Linked DNA regions of Canis lupus familiaris. The protein of the gene in region 1 interacts with the protein of each later gene in a pairwise test. Links are inferred from orthologs where the notes say so. Each region holds a gene or a part of one and is shown on either strand. Other genes may lie near its edges.

Region 1 (15,841 bases):
TTGTTACAAATTTTTAGGAAACAGGAGAAAATGGGAAAGATAAAAACACATGTAAGACAAAAGCTAAACTGTCTAAAATACAATATATTTGAATTTTACAGACACTTTGGCAGTTTTTAAAACCAAAAAAAAAAAAAAAATTCAGCTATACCGTTTGGTAAATTTCATTCCTAAATGGCCAACCATTTGTATATGTGTACTACCTAAAAATTTTTCAATGTGTACTTCTGTTCTTTTAATGATATTAAGCTCAATTATCAAGATGCCTTCAGAAGAAATACAGGTATCGATAAAAAACAAGTAGAAACTAGAAAGCACTGCACAGTTGGCTCATTCTTAGTATCTCAATTTAGAAAGTTCCTAACGTTAGGTAAGACAAGCCTGCTTCACTTTTCATTATTTTTAAAACTAAAGGTAAAGTAATAAAAGCAATTGTTAATTCTACAACACATTATATTGTAAAAAACATAAAACTAAATTAGCCTAATTCTTTCACGATATCAAAACAAAAGTGAAAATCTTCACACAGTGAAAATCTTTCACACTTCAAAAGTTCTTTTCTTCATAATTATTTCCTGAAGTTTTTCCTGCTGGAAAGAAATCACACAAACTAAGCATCTTGTGTTTAAATATGAACTTTTAAATTTGGTTGATTTTTAAAAACCATTCTTTCTGCAAATCTTAAGTTGCAAATTATCTAAAAAGTCGGATTCTTGCCTAACTTGGTTCCTTTTAATATGTTTAAGTCAAATTCCACAAATACACAGAAGCTATTAAGTCTAGTATTTAAAAACCACTTTTACATCACTAACTTACCTTATGAATGAATGCCAACCCTCTTCAGACTCAGAAGGATCAAATTCAGTTAAGGTATATCAACTTCTCAAAGTTACATACAAAGACAGTGATAGCAATAATTCCTTCTAACACAGATTAAGTATTACAATCATATTTCCTGAAACCATAAAAAAAAAAAACTATATGCAAAAGAACAAGTTAATAGTTTAAATTATTAATGATACTTAGCCCATTGCCTCTTAGTAAACCCCCAATTTTTTAAATGAGGAAGAAAATATAAAGAGAAACAGACTCAAAAACTTAAATATAAATAAAAACTATCATTTTAATAAATTAAATTTTTAAAAAACTCAACGTAGGGATCCCTGGGTGGCACAGCGGTTTGGCGCCTGCCTTTGGCCCAGGGCGCGATCCTGGAGACCCGGGATCGAATCCCACATCGGGCTCCCGGTGCATGGAGCCTGCTTCTCCCTCTGCCTGTGTCTCTGCCTCTCTCTCTCTCTGTGTGTGACTATCATAAATAAATTAAAAAAAAGAAAAAAGAAAAAACTCAACGTATTAGGGATATATATACAAACAGTGATGTCTCAAGTCACACAGAATTAGACTTTAAAACTTCCTCTAAAGAGTCGTCTAAGCCTTCTTTTGAATGTAAGCCCTCTAGGACACAAGTATGGAGGGACATAAGACTGTCAATATCCCCTACTCCGAGTCCTTTAAGCTAGATTCAGTTTTAGATCTATTTAAATCATTATATGTTGTTTATATGAAACTCAGCTTTTTAGTTTCTTCTCACTATCAGGAACCTTTAGAACAAGGAGCATGTCTCATTTATGTACATATTACCAGGGTACAGGACAGATACATGGACGTAGCAGAAACTCAAATGCTTCGAAGAGACAATTTTATGACCAGTTCTTGTTTCCACATAGACGAAAAAATTTTCTATTGTATTTAATATATCCTAATAAATATGTAATAACCTTGAAATTACTGAAAAATCACCTTTCCGAGGAATAACCATTGTCTTGTAGCACATGGCCAAGGAAACTATACCAAAGCCCATGTTTTTGGACAGAAACTTAATGCTCATTCATTAATCAAAAGATAAAGTCTTAACCCAAACAGAAGATCAGGTCCTAATGAGTAAAATTATATTTGTATTGTAGTGAGAACTTTGTAAGTCTAAGATAAACAAGTTTTAAGGGGGGAAAAAAAAAAAATCAAAGCTGTAGATAAAGCAAACTATATTTCAACTCAGAACAGTCCTCTCTTGCTGACATGTTTAGTCCTTCAAAACATATAGCTACCAGCATCACTCAGATCTGGAAAAGACTCAGATTTCCACTTTAAGTACACGGTATCAAGTAAAAAAGAAGCAATTAGAAGCAGTTTTTCCTTAAAGCCCATTATGCAAAACACCATTATCTTTAGTACTACCAGTACTACAATTAACTTTTCTTTAATAAGAGGAATGTCTAATTACTTCTAGAGAAAGAAAAGAAATATAAAAGATTCATCTCCATAAAACTTCCAAATGTCTACAAATATCATGACAGCCAAATCACAGCAGTTACAAGATAAAAAAAAGTAAAGTTCAGCCAGGCACGTGAGGGAATACCAGGCATAGGAGGGAATAAGGTACGTATCAGTGTAAGATATATACATTTTTCTCTTTTTTTTAAGATTTTATTTATTTATTCATGAGTGACAGAGAGAGAGGCAGAGACACAGGCAAAGGGAAAAGCAGCTCCCTGCAGGGAGCCCGATGTGGGACTTGATCCAGGGACTCCAGCATCACGCCCTGGGCTGAAGGCAGGCGCTTAACCGCTGAGCCACCCCAGGGATCCCCGTTTTTCATCTTAACACCACAGCCAAGAGACTTAAATGCCTACCGACTAAAAGTAATATGAAGGTATAGAAAAAGTAAGAATGAAAGACCAACAACTTCTAGACAAGACAGTAATCTACTCACTCCAAAAATCATTGCAACTTAGCCTTATCATCTCTAGTTAAAAAACAAATACCCCAGTAGAGAGCTATGGGATATACTCAGGTACCTTTACTAGCTACTGATTCAGTTTTATGAGGATTTTAAGTCACATCATCAACATTTCTAACAAACCCAATTAAAAATCAACCTGTTAAGCTGTTGAGATTTGTTCTCTTTCCTTTTTAATCCTGTTACTTAATGAATACATTCACTGCACTCTTTAAATGCTTCATCATACCTGTTAATACTAATTTCGATGTTGCCTCTTCCTCCTAAAGACCAGACTAAATTGAAAAACAGCTTCAATACAATATTTCTCACAAAATGGTAATTCCATGCGACATTAATTCCATGCAATGTGCTAGACAAAGCAAAATAAACATGTAACGGGGGGGGGGGGGGGGGGGGGGAAGGGGAGCCTGGGGAAGTGGAGGAGGGGAAGATGGCTAAAAAAAGCCCCACAATCAAGAAACACTGAGAAAAATAGTTTTAAAAGGCTTCTGCAAGACTTCCCAGCAGCTTTAGGAAACACTGTGTCCTGTGAATCTCAAAGGAGAGGAGTACACTCCATTCTTCCACACTTACATTGTCTTCTAACATCTCTCCAAATACTCTCCATACTCAGAAACATTACTCTAGCTAAAGTTTTTAAATAGATGAGTTCATATGTAACTGAAATGCTACCTAAAAAAAAAAATAGTATCATTAGTAAATCTATCAACATCTAACTATATACACAGCCGAGAAGTTATACAAGCACCTAGGTCTGGGTCGATCTATTTTTTAAAAAATACTTGCCTGGGTAACATAAATGCACACAGAAAGTTACTGAGATTCAAGATTTTTTTTTTCTTTTTTTTTTTTTTTTTTTTTTGAGATTCAAGATTATGAACAAATAACCTAATGGGAAAAAAGCCTTTTTGTCACTTACTAATGCCCAATTCAATGGCATGGATTCTGTAAATGCCCAAAATAAAGGTCACTTAAAAGTAACAGGAACAAATTAACTGGTCAAAATCAGTCAGATAAATCTAAGATACCAACACTTTGGATTTCTCTGGAAGGCCTATATTCCAAATCATCATTTTCCCTGAGGGTATGCAAAACTTTGTGGTAAAACTTCTTTAAAAAAGACCATCACTAAAATCAAACAGATAGAAACATAGTTGTCTATTATTTAAAAATAAATGGAAATACGTACTTTTGCTTTATTCACCAAAAAATATTACATTTTATCTTCCATTTTTATCAAATGAAAAAACTAGAGAGACAAACACTAAAAATAAGAATTAAGTTGTAACAGTGTAAAGTCACAAGTAACCACTGAAAATAGTCACATGTAACATCTATCTTCATGGCCTATAATGTGGGAAAGAATATGTTTTTGTTTCATTCATTCAACAAGTATTTTACTGAGCATCCATGCTGTGCTGAGAACTGTGCTCAGCACCTGTGGACTTCTTAAAAAGTACAAAACATAGGCCCTGCCCTCTAAGAGCTTACAGTCTATTACATGCTGGAAAGAGCAAATACACCATAAAACAAAAATAAATCCCAAATAAGTGCAACAGAGTTACAGGCAAATTACATAGGATTTTATTTTAATAATTTGAAGGGAAAGTGTATGTTGGGCAAAGTTATTGCTGAGGATCTCCGGAGGAAGGCAAAACTTGAAATGGTAGAACTTAGGTAAGTAAAGGAAAGTTCATGGTGGCAGTGAGCTGTGGACAGGAGGACACGAACAGCATGAGTTCAGTCATGAACTGATACAATCACTCAAGATAGAGAAAACAGCCTGGGTTCAAATTAGGGAGCGAGAAGGCATGCAGCTCAGACTCATGCACTAAGTTGGACCTGGGAGATTCTTGAAAGTTATAAAGTGTGGAATTTAGACATTAGACCATAGGTACAGAAAAGCACTGGAGGCTCTTGGGCAAGGAGACAACATGCTGAACTCTAAAAGAATCTGAGGGGGGAGGCCTGAAGCAAGAAAACCAGCTCAAAACTTGTCAAGAGTATCCTGGGCATGGCAGTATATACTACTTGGGTCCAGATGGCAGCAGGAATAGACTCAAGATCTGTTAAAGCCTGCCTTACTCAATGTAAGAACAAGAAAATCAAACTCATTTGTGAAAAGCATTCATTTACAAACTTACTGAACAAAGGCAAAAAGAGTACTGAATAATTAGAATTAGGGAGGCATTACTAAAGAATTTTGTTTTTATGTACATATCAACCCATAAAATCTCATACATATCACCTACTCTTCTCATCAAATGACCTGAATTGAAGCATAGGTTGTTAGAGCTGAAAGAGACCTTACGGCTTTTACTCCACTTTTCTCATTAAAAGAAAAATTAAAAATGAAAAAAACAAAGAGCCAACTAGGAGGACTTTCTTAGGATTTTAGTGAGGGCAAAATCACCTGTGATAAAGGTAGGACTTGCATGTCCTTTGTGTAGAAAGTACAACAAAAATTTGTAAGAGGTGAGAACATTTTAAAAGAAAAACATTACTGACCATATAAGTGGAAAATGGCCTCACATACAATCACATCTTAAGGCAAATCTCTACTGCAAATTTTTGAGTATTCCCACCAAGTAGGGAAAATATTACTAACGGTTTTTTTAACCAGTGATAAAGCATTATTTAATTTCCATATTAAAGTCCATGCAACTTTCACAGTCCCTTCCAACTATAAGAGTGTATAATCCTGTAAAACCAGGACAACTTTCCCATATGAAGTTAACGTACAGTAAGAAGCAAATGTAACCTATGTTATAGATAATTGAGATGAAATCTCTTTTTTAGTAACAGATTCAACCTGAATTCTATAAAGGGCACTGTAGTCAATCTCCTGAATAAGTACAAAAAAAAAAAAAACCTTCAGAAAACCTAGTACTCTTTTAACCTAAATAACTTTTTCATTTGAAAAATTATGACTTCTGGCTCCTAAAGGTTGTTATTTCTGTCCAGTCTGCATATTATTTTACAAACAAGTTTTAAAATTTCCTGTTGTGCCCATATAACATTCCAAACACCAGAAGCACTTAGCGAGTAAGACTAGCACCAATTTTCATTTTCGGCTGGTCCCAGAATGAGATAGTAATGTGAAGTAGGCAACATACATGAAGGTTCCATCACCCTCAGGACCAAACTCTAAAAAATTTGTAAACTGACTTTTTAACTTTTTAAAATTGAACAGCAGAACCCTACCAACTTTGTGTCCCTGCACTGAACTGTGTCATTCACAGGCACCCTGCTGTCTCTCATGAACTTCTGACCATTAACACCTCTGAGTGAGTAGTCGTGAAAAAGATCCACTGTGCTGTCAACTTTTATTTTTAAGGTAGTTATTTACAGAGCTTTAAATTAGAATTCTAGATTACTTGAGTATTTAAATTATCCATGCCCTCCCAGTCTGTTACGAAAGCTCAAATAAAGAATTACTTTTACCAAGATTTGGGCCCCATTTAAGTTAAGAGATTAAGAAGACAAAAGAAGTATATAATTTTAAGGAAAAACAGTGGGGATTCTCTTGGGACCCTAAGAGCTGGACCCTTAAGTCGTTCATTCATTCTCCTAACAGGAGCTGACAGGGAGAGAGAGACTTTTAAACATCTAAATAGGTATACTTAAAGGTACATGGCATACACTGGTCTAGAAAAAAAAGAAGAAAATCTCAAGGTAAAATTAAGAGTATTTGAATGGATGTGTACCAAATATCAAGTAACCTTACTAGGAAGATGATCACTAATACAGCTAAAGAGAAAGGGCCATAAAACAAACTGTGACCAGCTTATGCCAATGAAATACACAAAAGTACTTAAAAAAAATAAATAAAATCTGCATTGTACTAGAAATGACTAGCTGGTGTCTTGGTTTGGTAGTGCAATAGCACCATTACAGCAAGGGTAAGCAGGTCAATCCCTTGCAAAACTTACCTTGATTGGCCCAATGGAAACAGAAGGCCCCAGAAAAGAGAGAAGCATCTGGCAGTAGCAAATTGTTTTATTTTATCTTTCTGTGGAAAGAAACTAATTTTAAATAAGAACCAGAGCATTTAAAGAATAAATATTTTTTAAAGCTCATTATCTAGTTAGAGCAGCTCTACTAAGAAAACCAGAAGAGCTCCTTGCTGCTTAGAGATGGAAAGAAACAGAAGAGGAATCAGAGTTGTTTCTCCATCATCTAAGGGAGTTTTAAAACTTGTGTTATTCCAGAACAACAGAATAAATGGTTCTTTTATTATTAAAAAAAAAAAAAAAAAAAAAACACTCAACTCCTACAGGCAGAATCTTTTGGGCCTGGTGTCTTTGAATATAGATTTTTATCAAAATTAAGGGCTATATTTCAAATTAAAAAGAAGAAAATCACTTGACATTAAGCCCTTCTACTCCTAAGGTTAAAAGAGAAAAGACACAAAGTAAGCTCCTTTCTCCACCACAATTTCACCAATAACTTAAAATATCAAGGCTTAACTGATTATCAACACAAACAGTATTAATTAGCAGAAAGACCATACCTAATTGACTGGCTTTCCAAAATATTTTACTAGCCTAAATTTTTGATGATTTATTGAGATACTCAAATGGAAAGAACTCAGCCACCAAAGAAAGAGTCTATGTATTACAGAACCTGACAGGGAGCATGAAATTATTCATGGTAACTGAACCTGTTACCTTTCTTGGATGCTTCTCTAGGAACTCAGTTCTACTGAATTCACTGAGTCAGCATTGAAACCTTTTGTTCCAAATCACTCCCACAAAATGTCCATTTACATTTATGCTGGAGATGAAAGGGACAGCTCAAAAGCAGGAGTGCAGAAGCAATGAGCATTTAAAACAAAACAAAAACCAAACAGTGTAAGTGGAAAATGAACCCCCTATATGGCACTATCCTATGAAGAATCAAATCAGAGTAGAACCTCCCTGCTCTACCCCCACCGAGTGCGCGCGCACGCGCGCGCGCGCGCACACACACACACACACACACACACACACGAGGAAATTATTTCAGGAATAAACTTTACTCTAAGGTAAAGGCCTAAGCAATTGCTATTTTTAGATTCTATGCATCTACGTGGTCCATAGACATAAAATACGTTGACCTATAAAATAATAATCACTCTTCAAACATTTAACTTCAATTGACATACTCGGAAAAATAAAGTCATGACGCTAAAAAGACTACACAAACAGCTACTTAAAAAGAGAACTCTTAGTTCTGCTGTGGTAGAAAATAAATCTTTAAAACAGAAGGCTTTTTCCTTACTTTCAAAATTTGATTAGACTTAGCATTTGACTTATTCGACAATATTATTTTGGCATAGACTAATCCTTAAATAACTGCAAGTATTGACCCAGGTTTTGAAAATCTTGACACAACGATAACCGAAGACAAAACGAAACAGGAGCATCCTTACTTGTCCCATTGGCGGCCCTCCCATAGGGGGCATCATTTGCGGCATCATTCCGTGAGGTACAGGAGGCATGTTGGCTCTCTGGCCCATGGGGTGCATGCCCATCGGGGCATAATGCATGCCAGGGTGGCCCATCTGGAAAACAAGGGACACGTGAGAGCGAGCAAGGGACGATGAACGCTTCTCAAAAAACTGATCGCACAAGCCGGCTACGCGCACAGAGTGGCTCAGCGTCAGGCCAACTGGGACCCCATCACCGGGTTGCCTCGTACTTTGTTTTCTTAAACAAAATGCACCTCCCACCGGAACTTACACGGGCTCGCCACCGGCCGAATCGCAAAGTAATCGGAGAAAAAATTAAAATAATCACTGGGCAAAGAGAACACAGATTTCATTTCCGCAGCAGGCCGCTGCAGCGCGTTAACAGCCGGCGCCGCGCAGGAGCAGGTCCGGGGAGCCACGACTTTGTTGTTCCTCACGGGTACGAGGTAGCCAGCGCCCGAACAGGGGCCGTTCCCGGGCCGGCTCCACGCTGACTTCACGCTTTGACGCGAGGGTTCGCCGACTTCCCCGTGAGGAGCGCGGCCTCCGGGAGAGGCGAGCGAGGCCAGGGTCCCCAAGGACGCCCGACGCCGAGCGCGGGTGCGTCCCGCAGAACCCGCACCGCAGAGCACGCTCCTCGGCTCAGGGAGGACCCTCCCCGGGGCGGCCCGGAGCCCGGCGCAGGCCGCTCACTCCCCTGAGGAAGCCCTCCGCGGGCGGGGGCGGGGGCGGGGCGGGGCGCGGGCGCGGGCCGGCCCGGCTCTCCGGGGCTCCCCCGCCCGAGGCCCGAGGCCCGAGGCCCAGCCGCCTGCCGCCGCCGCCGCCGCCGCCCAGGCCGAGGCCGAGGCCCAGCCGCGGGGACGTCCGGGTTCGCCTCCGCGCCCCCGCGCCGCGCCCCGCCCCAGCCCCGGAGCCCGCCGCCCCGAGCGCCGCCGCGCGCTCCCGGCCTCTGCCCCTCGGGACCGGCGGCCGGCCTCTGACTCCGCGTCTCATTGTGCCGCTTCGCCCCGCTCCGCCGACGCCTCGCCGCGGGCCGTCTCCTCGGGGGGCCGCCGGGAGGGGCCCGGGCGCTGCGGCCCGACAGCCCCCGCTCCCCGTCCCCGGGACCCCGCGCCGGAGGGCGGCTCGCCGCCTCACTCACCATGAGGCCTCCACGCTCGGCTCCCGTCCCCGGCCTCATCGTCGGGCTCAGACTGCTCCGCCGGCGGCCACTGCCGCTGCACATACCAACAAGCAGCGATCTGAGTGGCTGGCGCCCGCCGGGGCCAAAGGTTAAAGGCTGCCCTGCGCTGCGGGGCGGGACCAGCGGGGCCAACAGGCTGACGGGCTTCCCCGCTGTCCAATCAGAGTGCGCCTCCGACACGCAGCTCTGCGGCGATTGGCCCCCAGCCTCAGCCTCGCTCGGCGTCGCCTGCATGGAGGGGGGAGGGGGACGGAGGAAGTTTCTGCGCCTCCGCCGGGAAAACTCCACCAACTTTCCCCGGGGGAGGGAGCTCAGACCGCCTCACCCCGCAGGGGGCGGGGCAGTGCGCCTGCCACCTTCACCCCCTCCGCCCGAGTTCCGTACGCCCTACCAACCTGAGGCTGCCCGGGAGGGGGGGTACCCGGCTCGTAGCGGTAGCGGGGCCGGGGCGGGGCGCGCGCTGCCCGCGGAGGAGGAGGGGCGGGGAGGAGGCGAGGGTTCGAGCTCCGTACGCACCAGCTGGAGAGCCCGCGCCGGGGCGGAGGGGGCGGGGCGGAGGCGTGTCGGACGGCGGGGAGGCAAGTTGTGATAGGGGCGGGGAGAACAATGAGAAGGAGAGCGGGGGGCGGGGAGCGAGGGGCGGCGAGCCGCCGGGAGGGAGGGGGGCCCGGGAGGCGCGGGGCGTGCGGCGGAGGAAGGGGGCCGTAGCCCGGCGGGCGCTAGGACCGGGCGCGGCAGGACGCGGCCTCGGGGCGGCGGGGCGCGCGCGCCTGGAGGTGACGCGGCGGGGGCGGGGGTCTCCGGCCGGGACGACGCCCCGCGGGGGGCGGGGACCTGGCTCCCTTCGGGCCCTGCTTGGCGCTCTCCGGGCGCTCGTCCGCTTGCCGTCCTGCCCCCCGAGCTGGGGTCGCGCCCGGGCCCGCGGGCGCCCCGCCTCGCCTCAGGCCGCGCAGCGCCTTCCGCGCCCGGACGCGCACCCCGGTGCACCCCCGCGCCGCCTCGCCGGTGGTGGGCGCGGGGGCGGGGGCCGGCCGCTGATTGGCTGCTGCGGGCGCGGGGCGGGGCCGGGGGCGGGGCCGGGGGGGTCTCGCCCTCCGCGGGCGCGGCGGCCTTTCCCGCCATGTCGTTCGTGGAGACCGGGAGGCGCCCGCCTGCGCTGCGCCGACGTCCCGGCACCCCGGCCGCGTCCGCCCGGCCGGCCTTCGCCTTCCCCGCGGGGGGCGGGTGGGGGGACGCGGAGGGGGACGAGGAGGACGGGTGCGACCCGGTGGCCCGCGATCTGCGGGCGGAGTTCTCGGCCGGGGCGTCGTCGGAGCCCGCGGAGCGCCCGCTGCTCCGCGGGGGCGGGGGCGGGGACGGCTCGCCGGTCCTGCCCGAGAAGCGCAACGGCGTGTTGGCGGCGGGCGGCCAGGGTGCGGCGCGGCGCCGGCCGGTGCGGGTGCTGTCGATCCTGTGCTCGCTGCTGTTCGCGGTCCTCGTCGCCTTCCTCCTCGCCATCGCCTACCTGGTGGTGAAAGGTACTGACGCGCGCCCCCCGCCCCCCGCCCGGCCTCGCCCACCCGTCCCTTGCGGTGTGTTTCCCGAACGGGCAGGGCCGCGCCCGAGGTGGGAGGCCCGAGGTGGGCCGACGCCGCGGTGGGACAGGCTGGCCGGCGGCGCCGTGGAGGCGGTGGCTCTGAGGCGATGGTGCTGAGGCGGCGGCGCTGAGGCGGCGGCTGTGGGGCGGCGCCGGTGCCGCGCGCGCTCGGACGGCCGGGCCGCCGCCCCACAGCCCCGGGCTCTGCTCTTACGGATGGAGTCCGTGGCTCTCGGCCGACGTGCGCTGGTGTCGGGGTCAGACCCCTCTGGTCTCCCCGGTCGTTAGTTGTGTTTCGTCGAGTGAGGTTAGACAGCCGCCGGGTGGAACAGAGGACGTGCGCGCGGTGTGCGATCCGGCGGGAAGGCTCGGCCGCGGCGGTCGGAGATCCGCGCGCAGTGTCCGCCCCGCGCTCCCAGGCCCCCGCGGGCCGGCGGGCGGCTCCCGGGAACCCCTGAGCGAGGACGCGGGGCGCGAGCCGCGGTGCAGACGTGGGCGCCGGGCTCCTTGCCGGTGCAGGTGGTCCCTGAGCGCGGAGCGGCCCCTTTTCCTCGGGTCACGACCCTTGCGACCTGGGCTTGGGTCCCTTGAGGACGGAGGAAGGGGCCCTAGTAGGCCGCGCGACAGCATCGCAGAAGGCGCGCGCAGGCACCTGGCCGCGCAGGAGCGCCGCCACCTCGAGGTTGAGTAGCCCCGCGGCGGGTGCCGAGAGGAGACCCACAGCCTCCGGGTATTTTCACAGCGACTCCAAGAAGCCCGCTTACTGGGCGATGCGCCCCGACGGACTGGATTTCCCTCGGAAGGCCGCACACCTAGTAGTGGATTCGCGCGTGGACCCTTTTGTTTCCGACTTCAGAGCACTTTCCACAGCTCCACAATATTTTTCCAGGTTTTGAGCTTCTATTTAAATTGTAAAATCGTTTATACTCAAGCCCCCTTTTTTTTGTATTTACAGAGTTACATGCTGAGAATTTAAAGACTGAAGACGACACAGACACCGGGCTACTAGGTATAAACTTAACTCTCATTTGATTTGCTTTGGAGTTCATTTTTATTTTTCCAAGTCATAAACTTAAACTATACAAATTTTTGGATAAAAAAATTAATATTCCCTTGTGCAATTCATGCAGTCTTAAATTTTTTAATTGCATTTGTGTGTGGTAAATTTTATTGGATTTTTTTAATTTGTGTATTTGGTGTGTTTGTGTATACACCACACACAGTAGGAATGCAATTTGAACACCGCTGTGTGTGTGACAAAGACCCAGAGACTAACATTTTCTACTTAGTTCCTCAAAAAGTTTTCCTATACCTTTCCCCAGGAATTAAAAACAAAAAAATCTCCTCACAAACTTAGCAAAGATGACATCTTAAGCAGACCTCAGGAGAAATTTAAGTTCATTATCTCCTTATAAGCAACTTCCTTTTTTTTAAAATGTAAAAAGTATTAGACATACTTGCTTAAGTTAATGATGAAGTCAGCCTCAAGTTTCTATAGAATGTAGAATGCTGTACAGACGACTAGTGAAAAATTGAAGGATTATTTATCTTGTATTTATTACTTTTTGCCAAAATAACTTTGAAGTGTTCAGAACCTGACCTGTTTGGGATATTTTACTACTTTTTGCTGTAATTTATTTGGTTGATCACTCTGAATCGGGGGGGGAAAAAAAAAAGGCTGAGATCCTATCCTGCATGTCACCCCCCATCTCAATTTTAGCTAAACTATTTGTCTCTTCAAGGCTATTGGCCTTACAATGATACAAAGTATAGTCTGACTGATTTTGCAGAAGGGGTAAAACCTTTATCTTCAAATTATTGAAACAAATTATGGTTTGTTAGATGTCCCATGAAAACATTTCTATAGTCTCGACTTCTTGCATGAGAAAATGTACTTTACAGTTGCTCATTCTATCAATGTATGTTGTATATTTTGTCTCTAAAAACAGCCAAGATTATGAGGCATTTCATAGCAGTTATTAAACTGTCAACTTGATGCAACAAGAATAGAACAATCTTAAGAACTAGGGAAAAATTCCATGTTGCTGTTTAAAACTTAGCAAATTTCATTCACATTTATGAAAAGTATAGGTGGCACTTTTCTTCTGAAGGAACAGCTTGTTTAGTATCAAAAGGAATATAGTAAGGCTTTGTCATTGCCCTGCTTCTTTTCCCTCTTCTAGTTTGGTAATACTTTTAGATGTACCTGATAGATATCTAATGCTGTGACAGCAAATAGGAAGATCATTAAGTCTGTGCTGGTGGCATGAATTAACTTTCAGGATTCAGGAACAATATCAGGAGTGAAGAGAAACTGTTGTATCTTTACAGCAAAAAACAAAACAAAACAAAAAAACAAAAAAACAAAACCACCAGAAACAAAAACAAACAAAAAAAAAGCACTAAACAACAGTAGTGCCAAAACAAAAATCCTTATGTTGAAGCAATGCTACAGTGGTCAGATGGAGAATATACTCAACATCTAGTGGACTAATTCAGTCAATTTCCTTAAAGTAGGCATGATTATCTTTATTTTTTTTTAAGATTGTATTTATTTATTCATGAGAGACACAGAGAGAGGCAGAGACACAGACACAGGCAGAGGGAAAAGCAGGCTCCCTGCAGGGAGCTGGATGTGAGACTCCATCCCGGGTCTCCAGGATCACACCCTGGGCTGAAGGTGGCGCTAAACCGCTGAGCCACCCGGCTGCCTGTAATTATCTTTAAAACAAATATTCATTCTAACCTGCAATAGAAAATGCTCTTTTCTACCAAGAGAATAGAATTCTTAACCTACCTCAGAGAAACAGTGCCAACATGATTAAGCTTCTATAAAGTTGTGGTTACTAAGATAGCACTTACCCTTGCATTGTTCTGAACTGGAATTCTCTCCTGTTGGAAGAAGAAAACAATATAACCTCTTTACAGAAGAATGTTTTGAGTTGACTACTGGCCTCTGTTAAAAGTCCAATTGAGAGCTCATAGTTGAAAATAGGCTATTTGTTTTTTTGTTTTTTTCAAATTTTACATGGATTCAAATCAGCTTTGAGTGAACAAATATAAAGGATTGCTGCATCAGAGTATCTGTGAAGGACTGCCTGTGGAATTATATTCTTACCCGTTTACAAATGGTATAAAAGTTTTCACATGAAGAAACGATCTTTAATAAAAACTGTTTAATTTGTCCACTATTTACAGGAAAAGTGGAATGCAGCCTTTTTAAATCTTATTTTGTTGTATTTCATTGCATTTATTTTGCCTTGTTTGCTAGGTACCTTCAAAGGTAAATGTAATATTTGTTTGTTGTAATGTTTGATTGTTTTGTGTATTAACCTTTTTTTGCTGTATTATTAGTGTCCATACTTGTTACCTTCCTATTTCGATGATTCCTATTTAAATTTTATTGCAAATTGCCTTAATTCTTTGAAAACGAACTGGTTTTTAGAATCAAATAATCTAAGTATAGTAACTGCTTTCCTATGAAAGAACTCTCTTTCTAGACAGGTTAATAAAACTTCTGCACACTGCGGATTTTTTTATTGCAATTTAAGCCTAGTCCAAGATTGGCATAGTTTAGTAAGAGCAGATTTTAGCAGCAGCTCTCATTTTAGTATGCATAAGAATCACCTGTACTTTCTTTAAAACAGTACCTCTGTGGGGCATCTGGGTGGCTGAGTCAGTCAGACACCTGCCTTTGGCTCAGGTCATGATCCCAGGACCCTGGGATAGAGCCCCATGTTGGGCTTCTCACTCAGTGGGAGCCTGCTTCTTTTTCTCTCCCTCTGCCACTCCCCCTGCTAGTTCTCTTTCTCTCTCTCTCTCTCTCTTTTTCTCTCTTTCTCTCTTTCTCTTTCTCTCTCAAATAAAATCTTTAACAAATAAATAGGTGAAAAATAAGAAGTACCTCTAGCTTTTGTTTTAGCTCAGGGTAGAAGCCAAAAATCTTCATTTTTTATAGGTAATGTTGATGCCTCTCAGTTTGAGAAATACTTTTATAGGGTAAGAATCTCTTTACAGGTGTGGTTTGTTTTGTTTTGTTTTTGAAGATTTTATTTTTAGGTAATCTTAATACCCAACCTGGGGCTCAATTTCATGAGGTTTTGATTTTTGGTACTTGTCATTTTTTGACATCTACTAGTTGATAGTTACACTGCCACAAGATTAAGAGTCTCATGCTCTACTGACTGAACCAGCGAGGCGCCCCTAAAAAATGTGTTTAAGAGCAGTTCAAGTCCTTGGGAGTTGACTGGTGACAGGCTAATAAGGTACAATGTATAAGTGCAAACAAATGCCCCTTAGGAAACATAACTTTGAAAGGACCTGAGACACTGCCATTCCATTCTCTTGTTATCTTTGCCTGAAAGAAGTCTTTATGGGAAACTGTGTATACCTTAAACAAAAAAAGGTTCGTGATGAACATGGTATCAGTACATTTGAGGAGTCATATGGTCTTACTGGCTAATAGGATTAGGCTATCAGTGTTCATCTTCACTGGTGAGGTAGACCAGCCAAGGAGGTATGAGAGATGCTGTCACCCAGTTTTGGTACTCATCTCCCCTAATCTTCCCTCAGTGACATTGGAAAGGCTTTCCTTTAATAATTGTCCTATAAACCATCTCGTAATGTAAGCCTTTTTTTTCAGGGAGGTTAATAAAACTTAAGTTTACTTAGTTAAAAATCACATTTTACTCCTTCTCCCTAAAGGTTATTCTCAGGCCAAATTGATTGCACCAATATACAACATAATGAGTTGTTTAATTTTTGCATATTGGCTTTTGTATCTGTCACATTATCCAAGTTTTATCACTTTTCACACACTTAGTTCTA
Region 2 (15,153 bases), on another chromosome or scaffold:
CTTTTGTCTTTGCTGTCCAAGTTATTAGAACTATAGCTTTACATTTTTTTATGTAACATCACTAGAAAGTACTGTCAGCGTTACACTTGAGTTAGATAAATAGCATATCAGTTTATCTTAATGATGCTGTTATAATTTGATTTATGCATAGCTTTAAATTGTAGTATGATCTTGGTAATTACAGAGGAGGCATCATTTTTGTAGCCTTTAGTAGGTCATTTTTTAGTCCTGATTACGCATTTAGAATCTCCAGAGGAGCTTTTAGAGAGTACCACTGCCCCAAGTTCTGTCATGGGTTATTTGAACTCTCCCTTCAATTTTTTGTAGTTATGTAATTATCATTTAAGCTCAGAATAAATGGCTAAATTGAAAGGGAAGAGAGCCTTTTCGTTTTCACTAGTTTCCAACTTAATTTGCTTTAGCGATGCAGCTCATTTCCAGAAAATTAAGCATTTTCTGTAATTATAAGGAGTCCACACATGCATCCTTGACGGCTTGTCTAAAAGAAGACAATGAAATCTTCAGACTGATGCACCCACTCACTGGTGAATGTGGTGTGGTATTTTCAATACCTATGTAGATAGGAAGTTGGAAAGGTATTAAGTGATCTTGTCGTTTAGTCCAACCTACCCCGGTTTATTTTGGTGGCTCTAAAGGTGGTGGCCTTCGGTTTGTTTAAAAACTGATAACGAAGGAACGTTCCTTTGGAGTAGGCATTACACATTTCTGTTTATTAAACAACAGTCTGGCTCCCTGTAAAACTACTTAATCTCCTTTTAGTGTATAGTCTCTTGAAGAACTAGTTGCAAATTTTCTAGGTTTTTCTAGCACATGAATGAGACTAACCATGTTTGGGTGTATTCCTATTTTTTCATTTTTTTCTTAAGTTGTATTTCAACTAATTATACTAAAGGAAAAGTTACTCTGAGGGACCAGATAAACTTCAGTGACCAAAGCCCAAGATTTCCTATTAAATTTGAAAATTGTTCTTTTCATGTAAATTTAATCTGAAAAATCTGACAAACTTAAAAGCAGAGGAGAGGTAGAGTTAGGTTTGGTTGGTTATTGATAATGAAGATTATTTTTTCTCTGAAAAGATGACAAGTTTTCTTTTTAAGAGGTTTAAGAGTGTCACCTCCTAAAACTTACTGGGAAGTTTGCCAAAATGAAGAAATTCTAGCGAGCCTCCATTCAGTTTTATGTTCTTGCTGCCATAGGCAGTGCTGATTGATACTTTGTTAACATAAGTAAGGAAACCACTTGCTTACACAGTTTTCTCTTCTTACTGAGGAGGCAGGGGACACATTTTTCTATTTCTGATACAAAGTAATCTTTATAAGGTAGTTATAAATACATGCTCACTGAGCCTTCCTTGGTTTAAAACCCATTCTTAACAAAACGAAGACAGCAGTTTACATGGCTGCAAAGTTAACTTTCAAAACTAGGTTAGGTAATAGAAGGCCTAAGCAAGAAGTTGAATACATAGTTGAAATTGTAGTAAATGGGTTTGGTTTCCTTAATTGGGTTTTGGTGTTCCTGGGTTTTTGATACCCAAGGAAGGGAAAGTGAAGATTGTGGCAGAATGAGTGGAAAATAACAATTGATTTAAGCAGAATTAGTGACTGAGTAAGCCTGATTTGGGATCAGATAGCCATTATTCAATCAAGTGGTTAGTTAATTGCAGGAAAAATGAATTTTAACAGAATTTGAAGGCAACTCTAAACCACGCTTCGTAAAAGACGTAGAGGAGTTTGCTCAATATAAATAGGGGAAAACAAAACTGATTTTATAAAATTTTATTTTTAGGATTGTAGTGGTGCAGATTACAGTCTGAATTGCCGGGGGTAAAGGGTTAGTAGTAGAGTATCTCCAGCCTTAGAAGATGCCTGTCCTAATACCTGTCGAGGGAGGGCCATCAGATCACTAGTTAGGAAAATCTAAGGTTTGCACTTGACCTTTTTCCAAGTTTTCTGTTAATGATGATAAACCGTGAAAATTTACAAGTCTTAAGATTTTTGGGTTACATTTTCATGTATACATTGATTGCTCTGAAGTTAAATTAATTTTCTCTCAAAGAGCAATTAACTTGTAGCCTATCGTCCTGATAAAGAAGATTCGTTGTTATATTTTTATGTTTGAAATCAGTCCCCTGTCCGGTTGGTGGCCTCATTCCTCACACTTGGCATGGCTGTAATGGGAATTGAACTGCGGAAAGGCCATTTTCAGCATTGTTAATTTAAGTAAGCTAGTTTCCATCTTGTCAAATTTGCCAACCTTTTTCTTGTTTTTGGTGTATTTTATAAAAATCGTAGTATGAAATAATTTGAAGTAGTCTTAACAAGCATTCCAGTTGCTGTGATTTAGAATGGGAGTAAGCAGGTTTTTAGAAAGCAGATTTTTTAGATGTATGTCACTAGTTTAACTGTAGCTCATTTCAGATTGTTGTCTAATATTCAAGTGAATGTATTTAAATATGAGCTTACGTTTTTCTGCATTTGGTATGTAAGGTAAAATGAGTTGTGAATTGGAGTAATGTTCAGAATGACTATCTTTTAAAAACAGGTGTTCTGCCCAGGGCAAAAACTTGAATATTTTGGCTGAAAATGAATTCAGTATGGGGAAAAATATTTACATGTTCTCCCCATATACATATTCTATAACCACGCCTTAATGAAAACGTACTTTCTTGGTAGTTGGATCTAATAATGTAGCAAATGAAGGACATTGGGAAAATGAAAATCCACTAGTCCTGACTAAAAACAAACTTCTCAGTAAGAAACCAATTTTCAGTTCAAGACTTAGTCTTTTAACTGAACATGCTATTTCCAAAGCACTTAACCATTGATAGCTTTCTGCGTTACAGCTTTTGGAGCTATCAGAATTTAGTCTGGCACAGAGAAGCTTGAGCATTCTTCTGGTTCCCTCATTACAGTCCCCAGTCTCTTCTTCATCACATTCTAAAGAAAGTTATTCTGCCTAATAACAACTCAGACCTAGTGTAAACTTACTTTTTATCAACTTTTGGGTTTGAATCTAATTTTCAACACATTTCTTTCTGTAATTGAGGTCAATCTTTAGTTATCAGATTTTCTTTGACAGTGGTGGATTCTTAGAACAATTTGTTTAAGCAAAGCACCCATTTAGGGAATCTGGATTAGCTAGCTGCCTACCATTTTTTTCCTCTCCAATTTTTACTTTGGTCCTAAACTAGCCAAGGGTTGATATTTTAGAAAAACAAGTAAAATCATTATAATCTATGAAGTCTTTATAGTAAGTATTTTCAAGAATCCATTAGCTTTGTCATTGTAAAGTCTAGACTGATGGGGTTTGTGATGATAAATCAGTAATCACTTAAGTTTATTTATATATAAATGCATACACACCTATAAGGGAATCCTATGAAAAAGATCAACAAAGGCTAGATAAAGCATAGAGTGAATTTTTCTCTACAGAATCGAGTTAGTTTCTATAGAAACTTAGTTAAGTATATGTTTAATTAGCATAACTTGGACAGCACAAGATTAATGCTTTAACTTGTTTGCAGGAGTTTAAAAAGCTGGTTTCTGTTGCCAATAGTTGGTTGGAAGGGAAAATGGAGATGCCACAAATAAAATTTTTTGGATGTGCAAAACAGTTTTGATTTTATTTCTTACAAACTATAGGACTCCAAGCCCCCTGATCCTTGATCAGAACTACATTAACACCAAAAATCAAGTTATCAAGGCAGAGAGGAGGGTGCTAAAGGAGTTGGGATTTTGTGTGCATGTCAAGCATCCCCATAAGGTGAGTTGTAGAGTGCAGAAATTAACGTTCGTAAGTATTAGGGTTTTTCTTAAAATTGTATCTTACGTGAATTTGTTACGGTTATTTTGAGAGTTGACCTTGGTTTTAAATAGCATCCTTTAGGATATTGAAATTTATCAGTAAAATAGGAGTCAAAAAGACCTGGGTTCAGACCTTCACACTTCATTATGTGGACACAGATAAGTTCTTTTTGCCTCTGTGGTTAACCCAGCTTCCCTACCTAGAAAACAGACTGTGTGTGAAGTACCTTATTCTAAGAGTAAATAATAATACACATCTGCAGAAGTACCTGGCATGCAACTGGTTGCTCAGTAAAATGTTCAAATCATGGTGGCTGCTCACTGTTCCTGTTCTTGTACGTTTATAGATTTCTCCAGTATCTCTTTGCTTACATATGATCACTGCAGTGGTTACCATGAGGGTGCTCTGGGGATAGGACTGTCTGTGATAGAAACTTGTCTCTGCCCTTAGCTGTGTGACTTGGGCAAACATATCTGTTCCTCAGGTTCCACATCTTTAAGATTGTAGAATGGGAATGATTGATTCTACAGGTCCAGAAAGCTCTGACCTGAACTCTCGTGGAGCTATTTATATTGTAGTATTTATCATGCTTAAGTGAGATAAGCTTCACTGCAGAAAGAGTAGTGTTTATTTACTATATAATACCCACTGTGTGTATTAAATAATGTGGTCATAGGTCATACTCATTGTATAACTTTAAAAACATAGTCTAGGGTTTTTGGACATGAAGAATTGTATCTTGGGAAATTAAGTGACATTTCTTACCACAGCATCTGTCACATAGTAATGTGTTCATGAGATACTAGGTATTGTTTTTAATTGACTTAACTCATTTTTTTTTCCTGTGAATTTTGGATCATATTTTAAATTTTTATATGGACTGTAGTAGCATAATAACCCACGTTGCCTATAATGTGCATTTTAGGTTGGTCTGTATTATCTATGCAGTTTGTAGAAGCGTTAAAACTTGTACCTAACATTTCAGTTACTTATATATTCATTGAACTCTGAAAGACCCACCGATATGCTAAATTGAGTTTTTTTCCCTTGTCCTTCAGATCATTGTTATGTATTTACAAGTCTTAGAATGTGAACGTAATCAAACCCTGGTTCAAACTGCCTGGTAAGTTGCTTTTTTACATTTCTTTCCTAGCCAGGAAAACAGAAGCAGAAATAAAGTAAGTTTCGTTTTCCCTTTCCAAAATAATGAGAGGAGTTTGTTTTGGTGCTTTTTGTTTTTTTTGTTTTTTAACCAAAAGGTAAATAATGCTTATTTCTGCTTCCTGTTTTCTTGGCTTGACTAATTGCTTTCAATGGAGAACTCAATTTAACTTTGTTCTTTTTTCTACTCTTTAATTAAAGGGTAGTCCATGATGGTAAGTCATAGAACTCTGCCCTCTGCACTTCAGCCCATGACCTCAGGATGGCCTGATTGGCTGCCCTGCTCTCCAGCCAATCCAGTGCAAGCTCTCATCCGAGATTCACTGAAGTGGTCCATATCCATCTGGCAGCATCTTCTAGTTCTGTCGGGGTGTCAAAAGGATTTGTATATTTGCTTCTAGAAGTAACTATTCAACATGCCTGTGTATATAATGTATACCTGTAACTATCAAAATGAGTAGTTCATTTTTGATAGATTTGTTGTCCAGCCAGTATGAATAAAATGATTTTTTTTTTTTTTTTTTTTTTTTTTTTGGTTAGGAGTTTGACTTAGATTTCTAATTTTAGTATGTATAGCATGGATTCTGTCAAAGGAGACTACAGCTTGCAGCTTAAAATGGGTGCCATTCCCATACTGGATGCATTGCAGCTGCTGGACTACTGAGGCAATAATAATAGTACATTTTTAAGAGAGATGTTAATATTAACATAAGCACTTTAGAACTTGGACTTTTGACATGAAGATGTTTGATTTAGAGGGCTAGCTTATTTTAAGGTAAAACAATTTGGTCCAGCTACAATTACTTTTTTAAGACTCTTTGATATGCAGGACTTAAGTAAATTTTGTGTTCTGGACTTAATGACTACCATGCTTCTTTAGGAATAAGTATATACTAGTGGTATTAGAAAAGTCTAATTGCTTTTATAAAATGCATGACATTTTTATATATGCTCTATAAAACATTTAAGCAGTTTTCGTGGGTAAGGATTTTTAAGAAATAGTCTTCTTAGTTTAACCTTTTAAACAATTTGTGAAGTTTCTTTAATACTTTAGGGATATTGCGGGGAGGGTTCACTAATAAAAAAGTCCAGCATTTTATTAACTGAAGTAGTTTATTGCTTTTGTTTATACTCAGTCACAAAAAAGGTATGTAAACAAGGCTGTTTTGTATATTTACTGCTCTTCCCTATCTAAATTTTCTGAAGTAGCTTACTTAGTTGTCTTAATATAACTTGGTGAGTGCTTACTGAAAATGCCTTTTTACCCCTGTCACAATATTTTGAGATTTTGAAAGAACTTGGTTGACACTGCTTTTTATTGTGGATAAAGGAGAGATGGTCAATGATTAATGGCTTGAAGTATTGTTGGAGTGGTTTATCATTTCTGAAACTTAGTTATGTCAAAATTGACTTTCAAAGTATTGCCTTTTATAGAAATATATAAAAATAAGTTTTATTTGGAATAATATGGGATTATTTTATTTTTTTTTTTTTTTTTTTTTTTTTTTTTTTTTTTTTTTTTTTTTTTTTTTTTTATGGGATTATTTTAAAGGACTTTGGTCATTTATAGGAAAACTGGAGAATGGTTCTAGTGTTAAATTCTTACCTCTTACTGATTTTTGAGTTTAAGAATTGTTATATGCTAGAATATGAGGATATGAATATAAATATGAGAAGAAAAAAGAATAAAGTAGATTGAGTCTCCAATTTTATGTAAGCTTCAGACTGGCTGTTTTGTTTATGTACAAAGCTTATGGTTGAAATATTTTTCAGGAATTATATGAATGACAGTCTTCGAACCAATGTATTTGTTCGATTTCAACCAGAGACTATAGCATGTGCTTGTATCTACCTTGCAGCTAGAGCTCTTCAGGTAGGTATATATAGCCTGTTTTTTCTATAGGATAAAACACAAGACTTAGCAGTCCTCCTAATAAAAACTGAAATTTGATCTAAACCATTCTGTTTTTATGGTTTAGATTCCATTACCAACTCGTCCCCACTGGTTTCTTCTTTTTGGTACTACGGAAGAGGAGATCCAGGAAATCTGCATAGAAACACTTAGGCTTTATACCAGAAAAAAGGTAGTTGTTTACGCATGTTTAAGTGCTAAGAGTCTAAACTAGTATAAGGGGAAAATACTTACTTCATTTTCTTCCATTAGCCAAACTATGAATTGCTGGAAAAAGAAGTAGAGAAAAGAAAAGTAGCCTTACAAGAAGCCAAATTAAAAGCAAAGGGTTTGAATCCCGATGGAACTCCAGCCCTTTCAACCCTTGGTGGATTTTCTCCAGCCTCTAAACCATGTAAGATATATTCAGAATTGAAATGACTGGGCACTGAAGGTGTCTGGTTATTAGAAAGCTTTAGCATTTAGGGGCACCTGGGTGGTTCAGTCAGTTGAGCATCCGACTCTTGATTTTGGCTCAAGGCATGATCTCAGCCTGACAGGCTCTGTTCTTAGTGCTGAATCTGCTTGAGATTTTTTTCTCCACCGTCCCCTCTCTTCCTGCCCCCCCTCGGCCCTAAATAAAGAAGTAGATAAATCTTCTTAAAAAGAAAGCTTTAGCAGTGGCATAGAAACAATGCTAGAAGAATCTGTTACTGTTTTTTCTCATGTTAGTCAACTCAAGATCATACTTGAAAGCAGGGTACTTGAGTTATATTTAGAAACAACTTTTTGGCCCTCTGTTAAATCCAATAGGTAACATGACTTTGTGTTATTGGGTTGTTTTTGTTTTTTTTTTTTTAAGCATCACCAAGAGAAGTGAAAGCTGAAGAGAAGTCACCAGTGTCTGTCAATGTGAAGACAGTCAAGAAAGAACCTGAAGACAGACAACAGGCTTCCAAAAGCCCTTATAATGGGTGAGTGTCCTTGAGTTAGAAAACTGGTCTAAGGAATCTTTTATGTTTTTAATTTCTAACACACTAAACATGTACCTAAAATAATGGGTTTGTGTGTGTGTGTGTGTGTGTTTTGTTTTTGTGTTTTTTTTTTTTTTTTTTTTTTTTTTTTTGAAGAGTAAGAAAAGACAGCAAAAGAAGTAGAAATAGCAGAAGTGCTAGTCGGTCAAGATCAAGAACGCGATCACGTTCTAGATCACATACTCCAAGAAGACAGTAAGTAAATATTCTCCTAGAGAAAGGAGTCTTATTTGGAGTTAGGTTCCTACTTTTTAAAAAATTTAATGTAGATGTCGCAGTTGGGCTACATTTAATATTTTAACATGAGGTAAATTACGAGAAAGGAGTTTGGAAGTATGTCCTGCCTATACATGGCTTTTCTGTTTTGGGGTGGTGTAGCTTATGAGCTATTCTGTTTTTGCCCATATTTTGGAGAGGTGTAGGGGCTGACCACAAAGTGCTATGGAAAGCTGTAATACCTTGTTTATAATGTGAAAAGAGTTTTGTTCAATTTCAGTTAGAAAATATTAATATTTTATTAACTGTTAATAACCAATACTCAAGTTGGCCAAAGAGTCTTCCCAAGTTAGCTTTGTAATTAGTTTGCTAGCTGCTTATGTCTGTTCAGTGGCTCTTTTGAGCATGTGTGAGATATTCAACAAAAAGCATAGTTTTGTTTTGAAGCTATTATAAGCACCACCAAAATAATTTGGTCCCAGTAGAGACTGAATCTAAACCTCAAATTTTTATTATCTAAGTTATAATAATAGGCGGAGCCGGTCTGGAACATACAGCTCAAGATCAAGAAGCAGGTCCCGCAGTCACAGTGAAAGCCCAAGAAGACATCATAATCATGGTTCTCCTCACCTTAAGGCCAAGCACACCAGAGATGATTTAAAAAGTTCAAATAGACATGGTCATAAAAGGAAAAAATCTCGTTCTCGATCTCAGAGCAAGTCTCGGGATCACTCAGATGCTGCCAAGAAACACAGGCATGAAAGGGGACATCATAGGGACAGGCGTGAAAGATCTCGCTCCTTTGAGAGGTCCCATAAAGGCAAGCACCATGGTGGCAGCCGCTCAGGACATGGCAGGCACAGGCGCTGACTTTCTTCTTTGAGCCTGCATCAGTTCCTGGCTTTGCCTATCTATGGTGTGATGTATGGACTCATAATCAAAAACATTAAAACAAACTGATTAGGATATGATTTCTTAAAACCCTCTAGGTCTCTAGAAACACTGAAGACATTTTGTTTTGGAAAAACTATGTGTTTTTTTTTTTTTGTTTTGCTTTTTGGGGGTTTTTTGTTTTCTTGGCTTTTTTTTTTTTTTTTTCTTTCCCCTTTTTGGTTTTTGTTTTGGTTTTTGTTTTGTTGTTTTTTTTTTGTTTTTGTTTTTTTTTTGCACATTAAAATGCCCTAGCAGTATCTAATTGAAAACCATGGTCAGGTTCAATTGTACTTATTATAGTTGTGTATTGTTTATTGCTATAAGAACTGGAGCGTGAATTCTGTAAAAATGTATCTTATTTTTATACAGATAAAATTGCAGACACTGTTCTATTTAAGTGGTTATTTGTTTAAATGATGGTGAATACTTTCTTAACACTGGTTTGTCTGCATGTGTAAAGATTTTTACAAGGAAATAAAATACAAATCTTGTTTTTCTAAACTGCTTCAAATATCTTATTTAAATAAATTATTAAAAAAAGTAAAATTTTAATAGTAAAGTGCTTGTACTGATTTTCTGACAAATTTGCTCTTTTCCTCCATTAGCTATGGTTTGAGATTATTAAATACAGTTTTTACCTGCAGTGGGAGCTATTGTAAAAGTCTTAGCCTTATATATGGAAAAAAAAAAGGGTTGTGTGCAGCAATGTAATATTAAATGTTACATTGTAGCACTAAGCCAGTCTTATAATGAAATCTATTTGCACATAAATAGTATTTATGGTACCATTTCTTAAATGAGCTGCCCTCTTGAACAAATGAAAACGTAACATGACAAATCAGATCCAATTGTTGACTTTTAAGGTTTTTCTTTAAATTAAATTAGATATTTAATGAGGATTTTTATCTAAGCTAGGAAGATTCAGTAATAAAAGCTCTCCCCATCCCCCCACTTGGCTGGGGCTGATAAAGTCTGACCACTGAAGTTTTGTTGTAAAAGCCAGAAGTCCTATATCCAAATGAATACTTTGTAAGTTATTCATGTTGAGAGTTATTTTCCCAATAATTTGGAAGTGAATTTAGAAATCTTTTTTAAAGATTTTATTTAGCAGGGTACAGGGCGGGTGGTGACAAAGACAGGACACACACACAAAGGGAGAGAGAACCTCAAACGGATTCCACATGGAGCCAAAAGCTGGGCAGACCCACAACCTGTAGATCCTGACCTGAGCCAAAATCAAGAGTAGATAGATGTTCAACTGACTGAGCCACTCAGGAGCCCCTGAATTTAGAAATCTTAAAGGACATATTTTATAGTTAAAATAAGTTTTCCATTAATTTTTTAATACAGCTTGATACTTTATTTGTCCACTGGACTTGGCTCCAAATGATTTGCTGTTTCAAAAGATGAAATACACGCAGAAAGATACAAAGATTCACTGCCACTTAAGAGTTTAAAAGAAAAAAACTGAAGATAATTTCAAAAACCTATAAAGCATGGTCACCAGTGGTGGGCACCAGGGCTGGAAAAAGAAAGCCAACTAAGGCAACTACATTGAAGGAGACAAGACTCCCTTGGATTTTAAAATGTTGGGTGTGCCACTTTATTATTATTATTTTTTTAAGATTTTATCTATTCCTGAGAGAGGCAGAGACAGGGAGAAGCAGGCTCTACGGAGGGGAGTCCGACGTGTGGGGACCTGTGGGACTCGGGTCTCCAGGATCGTGCCCTGGGCCAAAGGCGGCGCCAAACCGCTGAGCCCCCGGGCTGCCCTGGGTGGGCCCCTTTAATAAATCAGTTGTTGTAACTAGAAAACAAGCCCGACCTCAATAAAGAGCGACTTCTGAAGGGGTGAATAGCACGAAGAGCGTTCCTTCTGTATATGATGTCGCACATACTGCCCCGAACTGTAGCTGTTTAAGAGGCTAACCTATGTCTACGCAGGAAGCCAGTTATTTCCTTTACGAGATCAGCACTGAAGAAGGGCAGCGGCGGCCGTCCACCGAGGTCCTCCCTGTCTGACCAATTAATCCTGAATTCTTGATCGTGCTTAATTCTGTACCTACTTTCCCCTGGTTGGAGAGAGCACCGTGGCTGAGCTTTGAAGACCAGATGCAGGAACTCGCCTGCATGCGGGATGGGATCTGTAGTGTGTCAGGTGGCTTCGCAAGGATGTCTCCATGTATCCTAATTTTTGCCTTGTGAGACCGGTGATGAAAATAAAGTTTTGTAGGTTTTTGTCAAGAAGTTGACAGTCTCATGCTGCTCTCTTTTTAAATATGTATCAATTTTTCAACTTCTGTTAAAGGAGATTTCTAACAGAAGTAGTACAATACCCATGTCTCTGCTCCAAAAATGATCGATTCCTGGTCAGCCTGCTTGTTCGTACCTACCAATTCACCATTCTACTTCCCACTCATTTGGAAGAAAATCCCAGACAACTGATTTCATCCCCAACTATTTCGGTCTGAAAGATCAGGATTTAAACTACCACAGTACTTTTTATTAAAAAAAATTAACTGTAATGCCTTACTGCCCAGTCAATACCCAGATTTTCCTATCTAATTTGTTTTTATAATTAGTATGTTTAAGCAAATTCATATTGTTACATTGCTTTTATTTTTTTATTTTTTTTTAAGATTTTATTTATTTTTTTATTTATTCATGAGAGACAGCGAGAGAGAAGGGCAGAGACACAGGCAGAGGGAGAAGCAGGCCCCATGCAGGGAGCCCGATGTGGGACTCCATCCCGGGTCTCTGGGATCACACCCTGGGCTGCAGGCGGCGCTAAACCGCTGCGCCACCAGGGCTTCCCGTTGCTTTTAATCACAGATTCTCCCATCCTTTTTCCCCTTACAATTTTAAAAAATTGGGTCATTTGTTTTGAGGACATTTCCACATTCTGGGTTTGCTCATTGTAACCCAGTGGCATCACCAGACATACTTTCCTATCTCCCGTATTATAAAGTTCACAGTTCTTAAGACTTGATCAGATTCAGATTTGAGGACTTTTTTTTTTTTTTTTTTTTTACTCTGAAACTTAAAAGTCTGGGGATTGAGGCTGTGTGTTATTCTAGAACTGTTAGTAGACTGTGCCTCATTCACTAGCTATTTCATGGAGTTCCCAATTTTTTTTTTTTTTTAAGATTTTATTTATCTATGAGAGAGGCAGAGACACAGGCAGAGGGAGAAGCAGGCTCCCTGCGGGAGCCCGATGTGGGACTCTGATCCCAGGACCGGGACCGGAGGCAGACGCTAGACCGCGGAGCCCCCCAAGGGGCCCCTGAGTTCCTGATTCTTAATCCACTAGTGCCTGCCCCTGACAGCTTTGTGTGCGAATCTCCCCATTGCGCATATGTTCTCTCATCTTGTGTTTCCCCGCTACAGCCATGAGTCCTAACGCATGCGAGTTGTTTAGTATTTGTTCTGATGATCCTGATTCTTAAAACTGCAGTCCTTTCATGTTATGGAATGTTAACACCTGTCCTTTATTTTTGGTTTCTCAACCTAAAGGAAGACCAGTGACAAGCTAAATCCCCTCTCCGTTTAAAAACCGCGATCGTCAAAGTGACTACCTTTTTACTGAGGTTCTAAGTTTTGTTTTCTAGCTTTAAATATTGTCACTGCTGCCATCAGTTTGTAACTGATCGTTGCCCTCAACCTGCGTCAAAAGCCACTTAAAGGTAGCTCTCATGAAAGTTTCCAAAAACAAGATAATTGCATGATGGTATTCATTGTCCTACGAGCCATTTTTTAACATAGGCTGTAATAGAGAACTGTAAATTTTTTTTTTAAAGACCAGATTTGTTTTCCCCAAAATCCATCTTATTATCATAGGGAGCTTAGTTTAGCTGGAGACAGAGAACGCTCACAGGGTTTGATAAGGAAAACCCATGATCCGCCCCCCCTCCCCACTGGGAGGATCGGGAGGGCAGCAGGATTCATGCTGTGGGCCTTGCTCCCCACGCATCCCCGGGTAGGGTATGTGTGTGGCTGCAACTCACAGCTTTGACTTCGTAACCATTTGAATTTTGTCTGTTTCTTGAATGAAAGGACCATGGCCTTCCCGGTCATCTCTGAATTGGAGCCACTCCTCCACTGAGGGGACTTGGCACGTTATCTAGCGTCTGGTCAGCCGCCGGCCCGGCCCGCAGCCAGGCAGGTAGAAGCGGGGCCTGCGTTTAGGTCTGCGGTTCCCGTAGTTCTTACTAGGACGCATCCCAACTATTGAGAAGCTTGACTTCTATGTTCCTTACGAACACGTAATTTCAGGATGCTGCTGCGCTGGACTTGGAGCTGATCCTGGACAAGGTTGTCACGGAAACCCGGGGCCCTTAGATCCCAGGTGTTCTCCTGACCCTTCTGTGTGTGCCGCGTCCGCTCAGCTCACTTGCAGCCCAGTTTCCAGTACAGAGGGAAGCCCCAGCCTGCCAGCGAGCGCGCCTCCCTCCCTCGCTCCCTCCCCTGCAGCAGCCATCGCCCCGCACCGGCACCCACCGAAGGTAGCAGCCTTTATGCCTTCGCCACAATCTTGCAAAGAGCAGCTAATGACCTACTTAAAGCGTTAATCCCACGTTCCTCTAATACGTTAAGCTTCCAGTGGTTTCCCACTCCACTTCAAATAAAATACAAGCCTTTGACTCTGGCTTGTACGTAACCCAGCCCTCGCCGGCCTCTTCCATCAACCAACCTCTCTTTCTCCTCCTCAGATGTGCACATCTACCCCCGAGCCTTTGCACTTGCCGCCTTTCCTACTTGGGAGGCTCTCCCGAAGCTTAATGTCAGAGGCTTCATCATTCGCGTGCCCTTCTCTTTACAGGGGGCTCCTTTCACACCCCATCTAAAATAAGCATGTCTGGGGATCCCCAGGTGGCCCAGCGGTTTAGCACCGCCTTCGGCCCAGGGCGTGACCCAGGATGGAGTCCTGCATCAGGCTCCCTGCATGGAGCCTGCTTCTCCCTCTGCCTGTGTCTCTGCCTCTCTCTCTCTCTCTCTCTCTCATGAATAAATAAAATATTTTTTAAAAAATTCCACCTTCTTAAAAACACACACACACACACACACACACATGAGATGTACAATCCCTGGTATCACGCACTGGCACCAAGCAGCCCTCTGGTTGGGACGTGCACACGCCCGTGCATTATCCCCCTTTCTACTCCCTCTTCATCACAACACTGAAGCCCCGTGTCAATTTGCATTTATCACCGACAGTGGGGTTTTTCTAGAATCCTGCTCTTTTGCTTGATACTACCTGCCTGGTCTTTTTGCAGTAGACCCCTGGCGTCACAGAGAAGAATCCAAGGCCTACATCTGTGAACGAGGCCTAGTGTGCATGGGATCTGGGTCAGATGAACGTCCCTGTCCACGGTGCCCAGCGTCTCTCGGCTGGCTCACCACTAACCTCACACTGGAATTTCCCCTTTGAGGAGCTTCCGCGTTGCTGGAGCACCTGTGGGAAACTTCCACAAATGGAGTCTTCCTGTTTTCATACAGAGCGTATGTATGACACAGCACATCTTTGTCCAGAGCACAAGGCGCTCAAGTCCAAGCCACCGTGACGTCCAACGCTCCAACCCCAGATCACAAAATTAATTTTCTGCTCAAAATGTGTTATTTTCTTGGTCCTTTTCAACCAAACCAACTTTTAGTCATTTAACTGTGCAGCGTGGATTAGCGGTGTACAATGAGGTCTTGTTGAAACTGGTAGGTCCCGGCAGACAGTGAGAAATTAGGAGTCTCGGCCAGTGAACTGTCGTACTTGAAAACAGTGGAGTTGCACCCGCCCGGCGTGTGCTCCCACCCCCCCACCCCCTGAGGAGGCTACGGTGGTAGGCCTCTACCTGGACACGAGGCCGGACAAGGCCCTTATGGCTAGAGCCAGGCCGGATACCTACACGTAATTAGTACCTGCTTGCAGGTAGTGGAGGCTGTTTTTTAAAAGCCAGGTAACACCTGAAGCAATCCAAGTAGCCCCCAAATAATCTGCAGGACGGTTTCCAGGGCCGAGCAAGCTGCACGGGGGCCGAGCTCATGGAAGGAAGGGGGACTGCGGTGGCCAGGGCACCACGGCTGGGACAGGCCAGGAAGGGG

What was found.
Region 2: the proteins of pre-mRNA-processing factor 40 homolog A (region 1) and CCNL1 interact in binary tests that used the Homo sapiens proteins (3 or more experiments, as listed by UniProt). The link is inferred for Canis lupus familiaris from reciprocal best matches to the Homo sapiens genes PRPF40A and CCNL1.

Annotation. Positions count from the first base shown.
Region 1 is NC_049240.1:55,463,185-55,479,025, forward strand, and holds the start of pre-mRNA-processing factor 40 homolog A, read right to left. Parts: upstream 9,781-15,841; 5' UTR 9,673-9,780; coding exon 9,397-9,672; intron 8,765-9,396; exon of another isoform or gene 8,527-8,764; intron 8,349-8,526; coding exon 8,217-8,348; intron 6,816-8,216; exon of another isoform or gene 6,784-6,815; coding exon of another isoform or gene 6,736-6,783; intron 1-6,735. Other genes in the region: ADP-ribosylation factor-like protein 6-interacting protein 6, read left to right, coding at 10,559-10,955, 11,970-12,023.
Region 2 is NC_049244.1:51,188,576-51,203,728, reverse strand, and holds the end of CCNL1 (cyclin-L1), read left to right. Parts: intron 1-3,662; coding exon 3,663-3,783; intron 3,784-4,883; coding exon 4,884-4,948; intron 4,949-6,759; coding exon 6,760-6,859; intron 6,860-6,965; coding exon 6,966-7,070; intron 7,071-7,150; coding exon 7,151-7,292; intron 7,293-7,739; coding exon 7,740-7,851; intron 7,852-8,007; coding exon 8,008-8,106; intron 8,107-8,648; coding exon 8,649-8,997; 3' UTR 8,998-9,561; downstream 9,562-15,153. UniProt on the Homo sapiens protein: Involved in pre-mRNA splicing. Functions in association with cyclin-dependent kinases (CDKs). Inhibited by the CDK-specific inhibitor CDKN1A/p21. May play a role in the regulation of RNA polymerase II (pol II).